2 linked regions of the Sus scrofa genome follow. The protein of the gene in region 1 binds, or shares a complex with, the protein of each later gene. Links are inferred from orthologs where the notes say so. Each region holds a gene or a part of one and is shown on either strand. Other genes may lie near its edges.

Evidence for each region.
Region 2: the proteins of MAP3K3 (region 1) and CCM2 are in contact, whole or in part, in a crystal structure (PDB 4Y5O), measured with the Homo sapiens proteins. The link is inferred for Sus scrofa from reciprocal best matches to the Homo sapiens genes MAP3K3 and CCM2. Residues at the interface, in NP_002392.2 of Homo sapiens: Asp2, Glu3, Gln4, Ala6, Leu7, Ser9, Ile10, Met11, Asn12, Asp13, Leu14, Val15, Ala16, Leu17, Glu50, Asp82, His84, Met86, Asn88, Glu89, Leu90, Ser91, Ile92, Leu93, Arg117, Leu119, Leu121, Ser122, Gln123, Asp124; in NP_113631.1 of Homo sapiens: Leu299, Tyr302, Met303, Leu306, Arg307, Ser312, Gln313, Ile315, Gln316, Gln317, Phe318, Ala319, Ala320, Leu321, Leu322, His323, Glu324, Arg326, Glu333, Ile336, Asn337, Gln340, Leu341, Leu353, Phe356, Pro358.

The regions. Positions count from the first base shown.
Region 1 is NC_010454.4:15,230,483-15,232,944, forward strand, and holds part of MAP3K3 (mitogen-activated protein kinase kinase kinase 3), read right to left. Parts: intron 1,225-2,462; coding exon 996-1,224; 3' UTR 1-995. UniProt on the Homo sapiens protein: Component of a protein kinase signal transduction cascade. Mediates activation of the NF-kappa-B, AP1 and DDIT3 transcriptional regulators.
Region 2 is NC_010460.4:50,427,284-50,431,765, reverse strand, and holds the start of CCM2 (cerebral cavernous malformations 2 protein), read left to right. Parts: upstream 1-1,651; 5' UTR 1,652-1,752; intron 1,753-1,811; exon of another isoform or gene 1,812-2,204; 5' UTR 2,205-2,225; coding exon 2,226-2,324; intron 2,325-4,482. UniProt on the Homo sapiens protein: Component of the CCM signaling pathway which is a crucial regulator of heart and vessel formation and integrity. May act through the stabilization of endothelial cell junctions. May function as a scaffold protein for MAP2K3-MAP3K3 signaling.

The sequences.
Region 1 (2,462 bases):
GTCATGACCTACATAGAGCCTGACACAACTCTAACCTGAACAGCCCGCTCAGGGTGGCCCGCCAGCTCAGATGGCGGCATTGTGTTGTCCATCTTCCTTCTGCTCTAGTGGGAGAACAGGTGCCAGGTCAGGAACACAAAAGCCATGACTTTCAGCTCTTAACAATCTGGCCCAAGGCCCAAGCCCACAGCAGGGGAACTCAAGAGCCCAGAGGGCACACAAAGTCTCCAGTTTAAAAACTGGGTACAGCATAAGAGTGACTGCAACTTGTAAAACAGAGACAATTGCATTGACAAAACTGGGTCTCCCCCTCAGTGGGGGAAGTTCCACATCTCAGGCCCCTGCTCGAGGGTGGGAGGAGGTGAGGGTCATGGGGTCAGGCAGGACAGGCTCCTCCTTCCCTGAATAAGGCAGCATAACATTTGCTTCATTCATCTTTGGTAAAGGACAGGAACTGGCAAAGCTGGCCTGGGAGCTCCGGGGGAGCAGGGCCCAAGCCTCTGCTTTCCATTGGCTGTGGGATGCTAGGCTTTACCTCAGGCTTGGGTGGGCTCATCCAGCCCAGAGATGCCCTGGTGGTCTCCAAACAGGGGAGAAACAAAGTAACACTCTGAATGAAAGTAACACTATTCAGACCCTGGAGTCAGTCCTGTGTTCCCAGACTGTGGGGTCTGGTGCAGACTGCAGTGTCAGGACACAGACCCGAGGGTGGGGCCCACGGTGCCTTGCACACTGTTCCTTGCCCCTTCCCTCTGGGCCGAGCTGAGGACACTGGAGCTCTCGGGTCTGGCAGGCTGGGGGCTCCCAGTCCTTGAGGCCGCAGCCACCCCACCTGGCTCTGAGCCCCAGTGGTAGAAGGGCACAGAGAGCACTGGCTGGTCTGCAGCTCCATGGTCCGCAGCCTGGCCTGGGAGAAGCAGCAACTTTGCTGAGCCCCGAAGCAGCCCCTCGCCTGTGCAGCAGGGAGCGGCCGGCAGCAGCGTGGCCTTGAGAGCTCAGTACACGAGCTGTGCAAAGTGGTGTGTGAGCAGCTCCTCGGCCGAAGGTCTCTGGCGGGCCTCCACAAAAATGCGCCTCAAGAAGTCCCGGCCGTGCTCAGAGATGTGGGAGGGCAGCTGAGGATTGGTGGGCTGGGTGGCAATCTTGAAAATGGCGGCCATGGCTTCATACTCTGCCCAAGGTGGTTTCTCTGTCAGCATCTCCACCACAGTGCAGCCCAGGCTCCTGGAGAGAGAGAACCCCTGTTACCCCAGAGCCAGCCCCAGGCTCCCGCTGCCCTGCCCACCGCTGTGAAAGGACCTGCCCTTCTCAGAACACCCTGAGGCAGGAGGGGCTGAGCTGAGGGTTGACACCCTCCAAAGGGACCCCAAGGCCAGAAGAGGCTTCAAAAATCCATCAGTTTCGTCCACAGGGGCTTCATCGGCCTACACCAACCTGGGCGCTTCTTGAGATTGGGGAAGAAAGCCACTTTGGCAAGGACAGAAAGAGCCCTGACATAACTTTTAATTTGCTATTGCTCCTGTAATACATTACCATGAACCTAGTGGCATAAAAAAAAACAACAAATTTATTACTGTTTTGGAGATCAGAAGTCTAAAATTAGGAGTTATACCCGTGTTGTGGTGCAGCGGAAATGAATACGGCTAGTAACCATGAGGTTGCAGGTTTGATCCCTGGCCTCACACAGTGTGTTAAGGATCCAGTGTTGCTATGAGCTGTGGTGTGGGTCGCATACACTGCTTGGATCCCACATTGCTGTGGCTGTGGTATAGGCCGGTGGCTAAGCCTGGATTCAACCCCTAGCCTGGGAACCTCCATATGCCATGAGTACAGCCCTATAAAGCAAAAAAAATTTAAAAAAAAATTTTTTTTTTTTTTTTTTTTTTTTTTTTTTTTTTTTTTTTTTTTTTTTTTTTTTTTCATTTACGCTTGTAAAACTACTATTGAATGTTAAAAGAAGACAGACAGAACCAGATCGACATGAAAATATAAAGATCTACAACTGAAAAAATCAAACAAATCAGTAAAAAAAAAAAAAAAAAAAACTTTTTTAAAAGAGGACGACGACTGAAATTAGTCTCACTGGGCTAAAATCAACATGTCAGTGGGGACGGTTCCTTCCGGAGGCTCCGAGGGGAGACTCCATCTCCTTGCCTCTTTCAGCTTCTAGAGACTGCCTGCATTTCTTGGCTCATGGCTCGGCTCCTTCCTTGCATCATTCCAAACTCGTTTCCCTTGTCACATCTACTACTCACTTGGATCTCATCTCCTGCCTTCATTTATTTTTTTAATTGTAAATTAAAAAAATTTTTTTTGGCTGCTCTGCAGCATACTGAGTTCCTGGGCCAGGGATCAGATCTGAAGCACTGTTGCAACCTACACTGCAGCAAGGCCAGATTCTTCACCCTGTGCTGGGTCAGGGATCGAACCTGCATCCCAGCACTGTAGAGACAAAGCTACTG
Region 2 (4,482 bases), on another chromosome or scaffold:
CGGTCCCTGCTCTTGCTCAGTGGGTTAAGGCTCCGGCGTTGCCGTGAGCTGTGGTGTAGGTTGCAGACACGGCTCGGATCCCGCATTGCTGTGGCTCTGGCGTAGGCCGGTGGCTACAGCTCCGATTGGACCCCTAGCCTGGGAACCTCCATATGCCGCGGGAGCGGCCCAAGAAATGTTAAAAAAGAAGACAAAAAAAAAAAAAAAAAAAGGAAGAGCTGTGTGTCACCTGCAGGGGGACCTGGTGGGGAGCAGGCAGCAAGATTCAGGCCCTGCGATCACCACCATGAGGTGTGGGGGCCACTCCGCATCCTGAAATCTCTGTCTCACTCCTGGTCCCCTTCGCCCTCAGGGCCACCTGGTCCTGCTCTGCAGGGGCGGCTTGTAGGAGGGAGAGAGTGGAGCCAGCCTGTGTACACAGTGCCTCGAGTCTGTGAAAGATAAAGGGAGGCGATCCAGATGTTTGCTCCCACCTAGGACAGCACTGCTTTCCTGGCCCACTGCACTTTCTACGCCTGTGCCGTAGGCAGTAGGAGTTGACGCGTGGAATTATTGTTCTGAACCAGTCTTTTCGAAACCAGGAAATACTAAGCTTTGTTACAGTTTAAATTGAACTGAAATAGCCCCCTTTTTTTTTTTAGGGCCACACCTGCGGCACATGGAGGTTCCCAGGCTAGGGGTTGAATTGGAGCTGCAGCTGCCAGCCTCCACCACAGCCACAGCAACACCAGATCCAAGGCACCTCTGTGACCTACACCACGACTCATGGCAACACCCAATCCTTAACCCACTGAGCAAGGCCAGGGATCAAACATGCATCCTCCTGGCTTCAAGTCGGGTTCATTACTGCTGAGCCACAATGGGAACTCCTGAAATAGCCCTTTTTTTCCTATGGGCAGAAAACTGTTGTGAAAATTAGCACTTTGATTTGATCAAATCTAATATTAATATTAACAAACCAAGTATTAGTGAAATTTTTTTTTTTTTTTTTTTTTTTAGGGCTGCACCTGCGGCATATGGAGGTTCTAGGCTAGGGATCTAATCAGAGCTGAAGCTGCTGGCCTACACCACAGGCACAGCAATGTGGGATCCAAGCCATGTCTGTGACCTACACCACAGCTCACGGCAACGCCGGATCCTCAACCCACTGAGCAAAGCCAGGGGTCGAACCCAGGTCCTCACGGATGCTAGTCGGGTTCACAAGCCCCTGAGCCATGACGGGAACTCCTGTTTGTTTCGTTTTGAGCTGTGAGGATATGGGTCACTCTCGTTAACCACTACAGTTAATTACTAGCCTCTCCTGTTGGCAGCCGTTGTGGAATATCCAGAGTATGGACCTTCACCGTCAACAAACCCACCTTCTCCTTTTCAGGATCAGATTTAACCCTGAAGAAGGTAAAATGAGCCTGTTGAGGGACACTCAGTTTCAGAGTTGTGTCTCAAACTCGGGCGTCCTGGACGCAGGTAGAGGCCTTTGCAGGCTGGAGGTCCTGCAGCTGTGCCCTGCCTGCCTCTGGACTGTGTGCCCCGAGGCAGCCAGCAGCCAGCCTGAAACAGCTATGTTGGCAGGTCCTGCCATGTAGGTGACGCCGCACGGTCAGGAGGGGGAGCCCCAGCAGTGCCCTCAGTCGGCTGTGTTCTCGCTTGGGTGTTGGGAGGGGCACCGTGGCCAGACTTCCGCAGCAATGTCCTCGAGCCGACTGTACGGTATCGGCTGCAAGTGCGGGTGGCCACGGGCTCTGCGTGCTGGAGGTAGTGGGGGGGTGTGTGTGCTGGTTTAGTTAGATGGGCTGGTTTAGTTAGATGGGCTGGTTTAGTTAGATGGGCTGGTTTAGTTAGATGGGCTGGTTTAGTGCGAAGATGTGTGGGTTTACTTTGGGTCTTTTGGCGGGGGGCGTGCTTGCAGCATATGGAAATTTCCCGGCCAGGGATCGAACCTGCACCACAGCAGTGACCTGAGCCGCTGCAGTGACAACCCCTATGCTCAACTCGCGGTGCCACAAAAAAACTCTTACCGTTTGTGCTCGCAGTCTCTTTGGATTTTGCCAGCAGTCTCGGGGTGTCGCCTGCTCCTTCAACCTTTTTAAAAACTGCGGACGGCTTCACTGGGGCGTGCAGAAGGAAGCTGTGGTTTCTGGTCTTCCTGTTCATTCACATGCTTTTTTCAGAGGGAGGGCTGACATCTGACTCTGTTTTTCAACAAGATCACAAGTGAAAAGAGAAGGATGCACGGTAGCTCTCGGCAGAGGGGGAGGAACCAGGATTCCTCCCGAGAGATCGCTGCTCACACTGGCTTTCCGACGGGGTGTTCCGTGGAGAACGAGGTAGGTGCTGACGCAGCCTGGAAAGAGCCACCTCGGAGGACCTTTCGGGCCCCTCAGGCCTGTGTTTGTGAGCTCGGTTGGCCGGGTCCTTGACCTTTGCTTCGGGAAGGTGGAGCGGAGCGTCCCTGCCGGCTTCCGGGTCTGAAAACCGGCGGCTCCAGATGGCTGGTGGGCAAGGCGAGGAGCTGCTTGTGGGTTGTTGGGTTCATCCGTCCTCACTTGGGGCGTAAGGGCTGCAGGTGTCATGTCTGCTGGGGAAGAGCAAAGTCCGTGTGGATTTGTAGTTGGGACCCCGGATCGGGGACTTCCTGTTGTGGCTCAGCAGGTTGAGAACTGATGAGTATCCGCAAGGATGGGGGTTCGATCCCTGGCCTCCTCAGTGGGTTAAGGATCCCGTGTTGCCATGAGCTGTGCTGTAGGTCGCAGACGCAGCTCGGACCCCGCATCGCTGTGGCTGTGACGTAGGCCGGCAGCTGTGGCTCTGATTCGACCTCTGGCCTGGGGACTTCCAGATGCTGTGGGTGTGGCCCTAAAAAGACACGCGCACACACACCAAAAAACAAAAAAACAAAAAAAGGAAAAGAAAAGGTCAGGAAAGGGGCCAGCCGCAGCCTGGAGTTTCATTTGTGCCAGCCCCGGGCGGATGGGGGCGCTGTGCACAGAACCCTGCCCGAGTGGCCTTGGCCGCCCCGGAGGGTCCTGTGTCACCGAGCAGACGGCGGCAGTGACGGAGGTCTGGTTCACGCCTGCTCATGAGATGGGGAACTTGGGCCCTGTAGGAGGTCCCGGGGTGCCCGCTGTGCCGTGCTTGTTCTTTCAGCCTCTTCGGCACCGAAGAAAGTCTCTTTTCCGTATTTATTTTCAATTTTTTTTTTTTTTTTTTTAGTATTTAACTTTAAAAAAAAGATAGCGACTCTTGGCTTGCATTGCAGTAACTGCTGGAAGTCAATGGAAATTAAAATAGGCGATGTTACACTGCAGATTTAAACAGTGGCACTTAGAGGGGGGGATTGGTTGGGGTGCCTCATGGACCTGGGGCAGGTGTGAGTCTGTGGCTGCATTACCTATAATGGAAGTGATTAATAATTTATGAGCGAACACAAACTTTGGTAAACTGCACAATGCTTTGTTGCACTCGTGAACATCTCTTGTTTCACCTTGATTTCTATTCCATGGTTATAATGTGGTCAAGGTGCTGTCATTAAAGGAAGCGGACACACACACACACACACACACACACACACACTTCATTCTGACTTGCGCAGCTGGACAGAATCCCCGTAGCTTCAGCTTTTGCTGTGGAAACAGGCCTCTGAGCCGTCCACCCGGCCCACGCTCTGGCTCTGGTGTCTCCCTGAGGTGTCACCCCGCAGCCCCGCAGAGCTTGGCACCCTCCAGGCACGCAGCTCTGTCTCCCAGAGCAGAAGGGACCCCTGAGGTGGGGACGAGGTCCCCTCGGTTCTGGCCTCCGTGCCGGGCGCGTGCTAACCACCCATGAGACGTGTGCTGAGTGCTGAACTTAGGGACCCCCGACCTCGCGCCTGAGGTCTTGGTTCAGAGGCGGTCTCGTCATTAAAGGATTAACTAAGAGCGCCTGGACCCTGCCCTGGGGCGTTTAAGGTGCCCAGTGCGGCTTTGCTCCCTTCGCTGCCTCAGGCCTCCTCCAGGACATGCTGCTCTGAGCGTCGCACAGGCGGCTCGCATGGGTATATGTCACCCTTCGCTTTGGTCCCCAGGTAGAGGGCACAGTCCCGTGAGTGGTGGTGCCGGTTCCTCCAGAACATGCATTTCTTATAACTGATTAACTGACGGACACTGGTGGTCACGTTAACCTCTGAGAATTTGTTTAGGAGGCTCAGTTACTCGGTGCCAGGTCACCCCAAGTGAGCTTGTAAGTCAGGCTTTCCCATACTCCAGGCCAGCCTGGCCCCTGGGCCTTCCTCTAGGACGATGCTAAGTGGACCAGTGTTAGTGCATGTGTGTGTGTGCGCGAGGGTGCACGCGTGTGTGTATGTAACTAAGAGCTACGTTTGAGGTTTCTGAGTTCGAAAGTTGTTTCAAATGTGAAATGCAGTGGTTGTGGCTCAGTGGTAACGGACCCGGTCAGTATCCATGCGGACTCAAGTTCGATCCCTGGCCCCGCTCCGTGGGTTAAGGA